Bombyx mori: one gene and its partners. The protein of the gene in region 1 purifies or fractionates together with the protein of each later gene. This does not show direct contact. Links are inferred from orthologs where the notes say so. Each region holds a gene or a part of one and is shown in the gene's direction. Other genes may lie near its edges.

Evidence for each region. Proteins that work in one complex are often made in the same cells at the same time.
Region 2: the proteins of peptidyl-prolyl cis-trans isomerase (region 1) and ATP-dependent RNA helicase DHX8 purify together in Homo sapiens (affinity purification with mass spectrometry; 3 studies listed by BioGRID and IntAct, counting the BioPlex papers as one, with this or other methods). This does not show direct contact. The link is inferred for Bombyx mori from reciprocal best matches to the Homo sapiens genes PPIE and DHX8.
Region 3: the proteins of peptidyl-prolyl cis-trans isomerase (region 1) and RNA helicase aquarius purify together in Homo sapiens (affinity purification with mass spectrometry; 5 studies listed by BioGRID and IntAct, counting the BioPlex papers as one, with this or other methods). This does not show direct contact. The link is inferred for Bombyx mori from reciprocal best matches to the Homo sapiens genes PPIE and AQR.

The regions. Positions count from the first base shown.
Region 1 is NC_085121.1:14,019,356-14,023,777, forward strand, and holds the start of peptidyl-prolyl cis-trans isomerase, read left to right. Parts: upstream 1-1,542; 5' UTR 1,543-1,697; coding exon 1,698-1,907; intron 1,908-3,362; coding exon 3,363-3,548; intron 3,549-4,422. UniProt on the Homo sapiens protein: Involved in pre-mRNA splicing as component of the spliceosome. Combines RNA-binding and PPIase activities.
Region 2 is NC_085116.1:15,840,514-15,844,170, reverse strand, and holds part of ATP-dependent RNA helicase DHX8, read left to right. Parts: intron 1-824; coding exon 825-965; intron 966-1,740; coding exon 1,741-1,893; intron 1,894-2,904; coding exon 2,905-3,230; intron 3,231-3,657.
Region 3 is NC_085131.1:6,768,190-6,771,846, reverse strand, and holds part of RNA helicase aquarius, read left to right. Parts: intron 1-3,291; coding exon 3,292-3,462; intron 3,463-3,657.

The DNA.
Region 1 (4,422 bases):
TGGCAGTCGTGCCATATCTAAACTGAACTGATTTGAACTTCAGGCAGCCTGAAGATGGACGGACGAGCTCACGGCCCAATTGTCGTTATGTGCTACCGGAGCCCATAGACAACAACAACGTAAAAGCCGCCATCCACTTTGAGACATAAGTTCTAGGTCTAAATTTTTACAGTACAACGGCTGTTCCTTAAAACCAACACATTACTGCTTCACGGCAGTAAAAATCAGAGTGTTGCTACCTACTCTTGTGGGCGTATAAGTCACCCTACCATTAGTAATTACGCATTATATAATTTTCGCAGGTTTGATTTTTATTATAGGCTCTTACAGTTTTACTGGCTTGGACGCAGCGCTCGATCCGAATGCACCGGGCGTCATAATCCGCAGGCCACCACCCCTTCAATAGCTGGTCGTTCTTGATGGACATTCTGGATTATTATTAGTCTGGACTGGATGCGATAGGCAAGAGACCTAGAATAATGGAGTGTATTTGAAGAGACCTATACTCAGCATTAGGTGGATAAGGTTTGAAGAAGAGATGAAAATTCTAGAGGCATTTAAGAATTCGTCCATTACCTTCGTAGATTGTTTTCATAAGAAGTGTAATACTTATTAACTGTAGATTATTTTGAGTACCTTAAAGGACTAGACTATATCTGTCAAAACCGTCAGATTTGACAGTTTTTTGAAAAACTTTGCGGTCCATCTTATCGTTTCATTACATATATTTCGTTCAATTTCATTCACATGTATTACTAATACAAAATACATTTTTTTCATTACACTCCGGTGTTTGGTTCCTTTGTTATCCAACACAGTATTTAAAAAAGAAACGAGCTGCCGAAGAGATATTTAATTTTGAGTTTGAGTAGGTCAGAATCGCATAGTATAACTCTTTCCTAATGATAACCTTAACGGTTTCCACTGCTTTTCCTTTTGCTATAAAATATTACAGGGCTTTTGGTAAGGTAATGTAATGATTATTTAGTTGTAATTATACTGTATACCTAGTTGAAATTATATTAACCAGTAAGTATACCAGCCCCCTTCAGCTCCCTTCCATTTTACTTTTTTATTATTCATCCGTCTTTAAGAACGGATTTCGTTTCTACCTCACGTTTAATTTCTTATCTGCTTTTGTTTGGTATATACTGGTGGCAGATACAAAGATTGCAAGACGGCGCCAATGGCGAACTCTTCTATCTATTTTTGCTATAGAGCAATCTTAAATTCCTGTTTAAAAAGGAGAAATGCCGATATTCCCAATAAATTAATTCGTGACTAGTTAGATTAAATCAAAAAACAACTAGAAAACTATTTTGTTACATATCTCACTATCGAATAGGAAAATATTTTATCATACTTGAAACTGAGAATGAGATATTTATCGTTTGTGTAATTTGCTACTCTGAGCTTACCTTAAATTACGTAAAAATCAACTGTTTATTTGAAAATCATTGAATCCAAAGATATTAAGTGATTACTTATGTTGTTTATTTTAATTCCTTCAATGAAGTAGGAAACCTATAGGTCTATGAATTCCTTTGACAAAATGACATTTGACTTTTTGAATTGTCATTCTCTTTGAGGTTATGTTTGATATAAACAAACCGCTATCGGCGCTATCACACAAATAGTTAGCTATGTACCTAAATTTCATTTAAATTTCGAATAATTTAATATAAACACACGTGAAAATGTCGAGTAAGCCTAATTCTAAGCGGACAATATACGTTGGAGGGCTAGCTGAGGAGGTCGACGAGAAAGTTTTAAACGCTGCTTTCATCCCTTTCGGGGATTTGGTTGATGTTCAAATACCTTTGGATTATGAGACTGAGAAGCATCGGGGCTTCGCTTTCATAGAGTTCGAAAACGCTGAGGATGCTGCCGCAGCGATTGATAACATGGTCAGTACTTTTACAGTGAAATACATGGCAGATGCTGGACATGGATTCTTTCAGTTCTAGTCCATAGGTATGATACAAAATACTCATTTTGGTACAAACGAAGGGTACACATCTTTGTTTATCGTTAAAGAATGTGAAATTACATTCAGGAATTATTTTTGGACAAATAAGATATATAAGTCTATATTTATTACTTATACAATAATATCTGACATTTTAAATTCTTACATTTTTTCGGTCTTAAATGTCCATTGTGAATATAGTAAGAGGTGAAGAAGTGTTATTATTGTTGTTATAACTCGGAAGTCCCCGAGTTTTTATTACAGATGGTAGGGTATATTGTAAGCCCAAGGGGTAGGTGCCACCAACATGTTTATTTATGATTTCTGATTGGCACAGTAGCCATCACCAGTGGAATAACCACAATTGAAACTACAACCTTATGTCTCAAGGTGGGTGGCAGCATTCACATTCTGATGGCTGTTGTCTTGTAATTACATAAACCTGGTGACATGAGTTTGTACATACTTATCACAAGCAAAACCTACCATAGCTAAAGGAATCTATATTGAAGAGTGAAATGCTATTTGGTATAAGCAACATTTTCCTTAATACACAACTTCATCTTCATAATTAAAGGTGTGTTTTATTTGGTATTAGCAAGAACAGTTTGATGGTTTTAATTGCTCTTTAATTGAGTTTATTCCATTAAAAAAGCTAAAGAAGTTTATTTGTTATGGTATTTTTTCCAAATTTTAAACTTTAAATGGCCTTTAAGTTCCAAAAATGTCAATATGTCCGAATGTTTGTAGGCAGCGGCTTGGCTCTTCCCCTGGCATTGCTGACGTCCATGAGCGACGGTAACCACTCACCATCAAGTGGGCTGTATGCTTGTCTGCCTATACGGCAATAAAAAAATATGTCACTTAAAACAAATAGCCTTTCACCCCTCAATATAAGGTATTGAAGGGAGAATTAAAATTATTTGTGTGTAATTTAAACCTCATCATTGGAAAATACTTTTTACTGATATTATAATTATATTTGTAATACATATTATTACAGTAAATAAAATATTGTTTCACATATATTTATACACGTCATGTTTCAAAGGTTTTTTTTTTTAAATTCCGGATTAAAGGAGATTTTGATTATTTTAATAATTTATTTAATTGACTAACACTAAAATGTTTAATATAATATTAGCTTAATACATTATCAAACTGCCATTCATAACTAAAGTGTAGGATATTGTAATAGAAAAAAGTTATATACACAGTAAATAAGCTTTTATAAAATAGGTTTGAAATTATTAATCTACTAGAAAATGACATCCATAGAGACATAGATGACCCTAGAAATATAGACATATTGTGGAATGCATAATTAAAAAAATTTAAACATGCTTAGTAATATTTTCTCATTTTAACTTGTAATCTAACTATTTATTTCTAGAATGATTCAGAACTATTTGGTAGAACAATACGAGTGAACATAGCAGCTCCGCAACGCATTAAAGAAGGCTCCACACGACCTGTCTGGTCGGATGACTCATGGCTGCAGAAACATGCTGGGGAAACTCTTCAACTGAACAAAGATGGTGAAGAAACTGAAACGAAAGACAAAACCGAAACTACTAGTGTAAGTAATCTAAAGTACATCAAATTAAGAAATAAGATGGTTATGATTCGGACATAACATGTGAAAGGATAATAAATATTATCCAAAACATTGATAAAGATGATTGATTTTAAGGATGCATAATATAAGGACTAAAGCGTTTAAAGTAAATGTATAAAGACTCTGGGTAAGGGGTTTGATAACTTTGTCACTAGCATTAGTCATATTCTTGAGATAACATAAACTCTGTCAAACGTTTGGCTTGTAATTTGGTATTATGTCAGTTACAGAGCGAATGCTACCTTCAGACGTTAATTACAAGTCTGAATTTTATTTAAATATCGACTTTTCTAACTTCACCTCAAAGGAAGTGAAATTATGATGGTAATTTTTTGTTCTATGATACTCTCCATGTCTTCGTATTGTGTCCAGTTTTCCAGTCAAGAGTTTATTGAGTTAGCACATACATTAAATTGTTTTCAAGTGATGTTATGAATATACTAAAACAAAGTGTGTAAATTTACATTGAAATTCTTCTCTTCTTCATCTTTTTCTCCACCTTATCCCACTACACACTTTACCCAGGTGGGCTTGAGCTCGTCCACATATCTAAGAAATAAAAAAAAAACTAGGTGGGGTCGGCACAGCTAATTTTTCTCTTCCATTCTCTTCTATTAGCCATCATCTCAACACTCACTCGTCTCTCTCATATCATATCGTCGTTCACACATTCCAACCATGTCTTCTTCGGTCGACCTCTTCCTCCTCTACCTTTTTCATACTATTTCCATAGATCTCCTAGTCACATGCCTCAATTCTCTACGCATCACATGTCCATACCGCGCTAATCGTCCGCTTGTTTCAAACTTCCTCTGATATACTCATTCTTTGTCTT
Region 2 (3,657 bases), on another chromosome or scaffold:
TTTCATAATCATAAGAATACACAGATGATTCGTGTCTGAATTAAAATGATAAAGTGACTAGCTGTACCCGTCCACTTCCCTGGGCATTTAAAATTAACATTATTATTTCTCACCCCCACAAAGATTCTCATGATTAACGCCCCCGCAACTAGTGTAGGGAGTCCAACACTCATATAAATACTAGCCTACCCGTTAAGTACATGTATTTTCTACATGGATACCAAGTTTCAAGTCAATCTGATGCATGGTTCAGTAGTTATAACGGAACATCCGTAAAAACCACTGTAGATTTATATATTAGTATAGATATGTTTAACTTCTATACAATATATGTTGTCTGTTGGTGAACTTGCTGATCCGTCGACATCTGGTTGAAGCTCAATAGTGTAAGGATGGGACTAGGGTATTTTAACGACTGATCACTTCTGAGTATGATTTATTACTGCTCTCCTAATAAAACGATATATGTGTATATAAGTGCTTACTTACTACGTCACAATAGCATCAGCATTGCTGAACGTCGCTTGAACAGGCACGGCCACGTCCGGAGGCTCAGATATACAGAATATTGTACAGAATACTACTACTATAAAATATTGAATTGTCATCGGTCATTAATAGTTAATCCGACGTTCTGAAGGAGGTTAAAATCGTGTTCAAAAATTCCGTTATATAGTAACATACGTACGTCTGAAGCTAATAAAAGCGTATTAATAAGACTTGACCTAAAGGTTTTAGTTACCAGGTCATAAAATCCCTTAAAAAAGCTAAGTGAGATTGAGTAGGTGGTAACGTTTAGAGTAAGTGTGAACAACATTGTGCAGGCGGCGGCGAAGCAGCGCGCCGGGCGGGCGGGCCGCACCGGGCCGGGCAAGTGCTACCGGCTGTACACGGAGCGAGCCTACCGGGACGAGATGCTGCCCACGCCCGTGCCCGAGATACAGCGGACCAACCTCGCCACCACCGTGAGTGCCGCGCCATGCTCGCACCTCCCGCCAGCGGACCAGAGCTCATCCATATTATCTGGAACCGCTGCGTTCATCGACAGCGCCACGTACCATCCGGATATGGAATGAGCTCCCCTCCACGGTGTTTCCCGAGCGCTATGACATATCCTTCTTTAAAAGAGGCTTGTGGAGAGTATTAAGGTATAGGCAGCGGCCTGGCTCTGCCCCTGGCATTGCTGAGGTCCACGGGCAACGGTAACCACTCACCATCAGGTGAGCCGTATGCTCCTCTGCCTACAAAGGCAATAAAAAAATACTGGGGGGGGGATCTTTTTTTATAGCTTAAATGGGTGAACGAGCCCACAGCCCACCTGGTGTTAAGTGGTTACTGAAGCCCATAGACATCTACGACGTAAATACGCCACCCACCTTCAGATATAAGATCTAAGGTCTCAAGTATACTTACAACGGCTGCCCCACCCTCCAAATCGAAACGCATTCACACTGCTTCACGGCAGAAAATAGGCAGGGTGGTGGTACCTACCCGCACGGACTCAAAAGGTCCTACCACCTAATAAAGGACAATGCCCATTTTCTTTGGGCGTTTGGGCCCCTAAAAAAAAGTTGTCTGGTCATGATGGTTTTAATTTCATTTGATAGACAAAGAAATATCGTTTCATATTCAGAAAATCATTTTTATATTCTCACCCAGGTTTAAGAGAAATGTTTTTTTTTTGGCACAAAGTTGGCCCACTTTTGGGCATTGTCCTTTACAAGTCATAGTAAATTTCAGGTATTACAATTGAAAACAATGGGTATAAACGATTTGCTGCATTTCGACTTCATGGACGCGCCGCCGGTCGAGTCGCTCATCATGGCGCTGGAGCAGCTGCACTCGCTGTCGGCGCTCGACTCTGAGGGACTCCTGACGAGGCTGGGACGCAGAGTACGTTGAGATGTCATGTCATGATATTAGCTTATAATCTGTACCTGCATTGAACAATAAATGAAGTTTGACCTAAAGGTCTCTGTCACCAGGTCATAAAAAAAAAATGAAATAGGAACTTTTTGGCGGGAACGCGAGGAGTGAAGTTGTGTGATTTGCTTTATTTTGTCTATTTAGTGTTTCTTCAGGTTTAAATTTGTTGTAACAGTGGTTTATTAATGGTTAATATCTGTGAAAGTGTACAAATGTGGGAAAATTAAACAAAAGCCGCTGGACGTAACTTCTCGGGATCCTCCAAAAAGTCCACTGAAAAAAATCTCAGTAAATGACCACCACCTTACTAAGATTATATTTCATCCCAAATCATCTCATCTCATTTAATTTCATCCCAGTTGATTAATGTCTCAAACTAATCACCTTCATTTCATTTCACTCCATATTATCATATTTCATAAAAATATGAATATAAATTAAAATAAGACATGACTTAAAGGTCTTAGTTACCAGATCATAAAATCCCTTAAAAATTTTTTTTAAATAACTTAACATTGCAAAAGGCTGGTAAGCAAAACCTATAACAAGCTAACGTTATTTGCTAACGATACGACCTGCTCATGACTCTCGTGGGAAATTAGTGCAGTGGTTTCCCGTTGCCTTCTGCACCAGCATTTTAGGGGGTATTTGATCCCCAAGGTTTCTGATGCCTCTTCCGTATAGGTTGTCCTGATGAGTGTGTACGGTTATACCGCCATTGCTCGGTCGCCATTGCCCTATTAGTTTTCTAGCAGGGAGCACCACGGCAACCTGTTGGTTGCCGCCGCCATCCGGCGCGTGCAGGTGGGGTTGACAATAGGGCCGGTGAAGGTAGCATTCCGATCTCCCCTTACTCCCCTTCAGGAACTCACAGATCTACATGAACTCACAGATAGCAAAATGTGAATATCGTCAATTCATCTCAAAAAATAGGCAGACCCTCAATTCAAGTTTAATGAACCCAATTATTATTTTCAGATGGCCGAATTTCCACTAGAGCCAAACCTATCGAAGATCCTAATCATGTCGGTGGCCCTGCAGTGCTCGGATGAAATACTCACAATAGTGTCGATGCTGAGCGTCCAAAACGTTTTCTATCGGCCGAAGGACAAGCAGGCGCTTGCCGACCAGAAGAAGGCCAAGTTCAACCAGCCGGAAGGGGACCACCTGACGCTACTGGCCGTGTACAACAGCTGGAGGAATAACAAGTTCTCGAACGCGTGGTGCTACGAAAACTTCGTGCAGATCAGGACGTTGAAGCGGGCCCAGGACGTGAGGAAGCAGCTCCTCGGGATCATGGACAGGTAGCCTTCAGCTTTGGTCTAAATTTTGGGTTTCTGCGAACGAGTACCGATGCATTTTAGTAAAGGTCTTGTGACACAAACTACATACTCTAAGTCATTTTGTTTTTTTTTTATTGCTCTTGTAGTCAGAAGAGCACACGGCTCACCTGATGGTGAGTGGTTACTGTCGCCCATGGACTTCAGCAATGCCAGGGCAGAGCCAAGCCGCTGCCTCCGAAATACGGACTCAACACAATTTTCGCTTGTGAATACCGAAAACACAAGGCAGCAATAAATACAAATACCAATTGTTTTTAACAAGCAGACTATATGAACGATTAGTTCGCGCTCCACCTATGGTGCGCTGGCGGTACTTCAACACATAAATACTTCCTGAGGTGCCAATCACAAGTTCCACAACAAAAGACGACGCGTCGTGAAAATAGTT
Region 3 (3,657 bases), on another chromosome or scaffold:
GTCCGCTCAATTTTCGTAAAAAGGGATACAAAGTTTTTGCTTCACGTATTAATATATAGATAATCAAACTGCGCAATAGACGGTATTCCGGCGCTCCGCAGTTTTTACGCCTTAATAGAGAGTCTATCTATCGACTGTTCCCGCTCTATGGGTTAAAAGTTTAATTCTAAATAGATAACGCTCTTTTTTTTGGCAGTTTTTAATTGATGATATAAAAACATTGCCGTAATATCAGAAATTATGCGTGTTATACAATCGACTTTTTTATTGTTATTATTGTATTGATTTACTAGCTTTTGCCCGCGACTTTGTCCGCGTGGAATAGTTCCAAATAATGCTTTATTTTAGAACAAATTTGGTTAGCATCAAAACGTTATAGTGAGCCAATCTTAACATATAGACATATGCTGTCGTGGACTTTTTTTTAGATCTTTTAAAGGGGAACATTTCTGTCATACATTACTTTAGCGAAACTTTAAGCGTTTCAGCAGCGCACGCAGTGAAAGCCCTCAAAAGGGAAAAAGCCCCGATTTTGAAACATTCTTTATTGGTGCTCCGCCTGCATTGGTCTTAGTGTGATGTTATATAGCCTATAGCCTTCCACGATAAATGGGCTATCTAACACTGTAATAATTTTTCAAATCGGACCAGTATAGTTCCTGAGATTAGCGCGTTCAAACAAACAAACTCTTCAGCTTTATAATATTAATATAGATTGGTTACCGGAGCACACGAATATCGACAACGCGAATTCCGCCAGCGACCTTCAACCTTTAGTTCTAAGTCTCAGTTCTGTAATAAAACAGCTGTCCGACCCTTCAAAACGCATTACTGCTACGCGGCAGATCTAGGTATTCTGGTCGTATCTACCCATGTGGGCTCATAAGACTCTCGAGCAGAAATAAAAACGTTTTCCTAGAATCAATTTGTTACAACGCAATGCGGCAGATCTAGGCATTCTGGTCGTATCTACGCGTGCGGGCTCACAAGACGCTCTAGCAGAAATAAAAACGTTTCCTAGAATCAATTTGTTAGAACGCAATGATAAATGTATGTGTACTGTACAAACGGGTCAATGAACGCATACCTCCTTGACATTGAACGCAGAACAACATTGATTGCTTTAAACTCTTCCTACTCGCGGCCGAGTCTGGCTGAAAATAATTCTTCTAAACATTTACGAATTTGTGTAACCTCTAAATATAGAATAGACTTTCAAATTGAATAGGAAACTGTTGAGACAGATGACATACTAACGTTTTGTTTGGCGTAGCATAAGTTAACAGTAAAAAAAAACAATAAGCTAACTGTGTTTTTAAAGAAAACTAAGTAAAAAGCGAATAACTGTGCTATGTCAGTTAAATTTTGTTGAAATGGAAACTTTTACATTACATAGTTACAGTTTCATATTTTTTTTTATTTATACTGTATGAATGACGCGAGAAAAGGACGACGATAATTGACACCAAATTATTTTTATCTGCTTGTCTACATATTGCGGTTATTCAAACATTACGCAATTACCATTCGATCAACTGAACTAGTTTGTAATATCGCACCTTTAGAATTGCAGTGGCTAAAAACTAAAGTGGAAGTCAACTAAATTTTTTTAAGAAAATGAATTAAATACTTCGAACGGCTTATAGAAACGTGTTCTATCAGTTAAAAAAATTAATCGTAAAATGCGAAAGCCGGTTTGGTGGTAGGGAGTCTTGTGAGCCCGCACGGGTAGGTACCACCACCCTGCCCATATCTACCCTGAAGCAGTAACGCGTTGCGGTTTGAAAAATGAGGCAGCCGTTGTACTGTAAAAAACGGAGACCTTAGAACTCATGTCTCAATGTGAGTTTTACGATGTCGATGTCTCTGGGACCCGGTGACCATTTAACATCAGGGGGGCCGTGAGCTCGTTCAAACATATAAGCAATTTAAAAAAAATGTCGTGGTAAGAACCCGGTAAATAATAGCGTCTTTAATAAGAACTCCCGTTTCAAATAAATTCGTGTTATTTATTCCGAATATAACGCTGCCTCCGTTGTTTTGTACACAATAAAAATAGCCACAGAATACTCACGCCACACCATACTACCATGAAACCCGTTTTTATATGAACGAAATTGAAAGTTTAAAGCTCATTTGTATATCCAAGGTCGCGTGTTAATTTAATTCTTATAAAGGCGCCTGTCTCAAACGAACACGCAGGTGGTCGCGAATTAAAGACTTAACAAAACCATTTAATAGATTCGCGTAATTACTATTCGTAAATTATTCGTAATTCTGTCGCGAAGCTATTTCAAATAGGGAATAATTTAATGTACATTCTGTTTTATTTGTTGTTTATTTGTGCGCGATGCAATCATTGTCTGTGGCGTTTAAAAAATGCACATATTTTTAAATCGACGAACAGATGAGATCACGACTCTCTTGATGTCATTTGATTACCTGAGTCCGTGAACATCATACTGCTGCGATATTTGACGGAAGTGTCAATTATTATTATAGCTTTATTTCCACTTAATGCAACTATATAGGTATATGAGATTATAAACTACTTATTTCTTCTTTGTTATGTTGCCCCTTCTTGGGTAAAAGCCTCCTCCATGCTTTTTAACCATTCCCTGTCCTTGGCCAAATGCATCCAACTTGTTCTTGTTATATCAGCAGTCTTTATAATATCATCGAAAAAGTGTCAATACGACTGTTCTACTATTGTTGGAACTGGTACGTAAGAATGTTAGGCAGAGAAATACGGTATGCTAAGAGTCGAAGCTAGGGAAAAGGTATTTGAGTGAAAGGGTATATAGCCCATTTTGAGGCGCTGCTGTTTATACCGGTAGTATGACATTTCGATATAGCGGCACGACACGAGAACCCTCTCTCATCGTGGCCGCCGGTAACTAAATTCCCGAAATATAATCTCAGTAAATTTCAGGTTATTTACTGAGACTTTTTCAGTGAGCTTTTTGGAGGATCCCGAGAAGCTATGTCCAGCGGCTTTGTTTCAGTTTCCCACATTTATGCACTTTTACAGATATTAAACAGTCAATAAACCACCGTTATTACACATTTAAACCTGAAGAAACACTAAATAGACAAAATAAAACAAATCACACAACTTCACTCCTCACGTTCCCGCCAAAAAGTCCCCTACTTGCTCGATGAATCTAATATAACGCCTCGAAATTACCAGAATAGGTAGCCAAAAAAAAGAATCTTACTCGTTCTCTTGTGGATCTTACCTTCGTTGATACCTCCGTGCAATCCGGATAACGAAGCCCTTCACGTTTGCAGAATTTAGCGGAAGCAGAATACGTTGTAGCGGTTTTCATGTACATGCGCCTGATCGGATGGCCTGCAGAGCGCATCTCCATACTGACCACATATAACGGGCAGAAACATCTCATCAGGGACGTCATAGATAAGCGATGTGCCGATAATCCACTCATCGGTCGACCTCACAAGGTGAGTCTTATGATCTGTTTCTATGTTGTTGTTTACTTATTAATAAACTTTAAAAAAAGAGGAGGTTATCAATTCGAATGTATTTTTTGTGTGTGTGTTTTTCATTTGTCCAAGTCAAGCGATTTCTATTTTTTTATTTTTATTTGATGCTTCTCATGTGTCATGACTATTAATCATATTCTCATTTGATTTTGT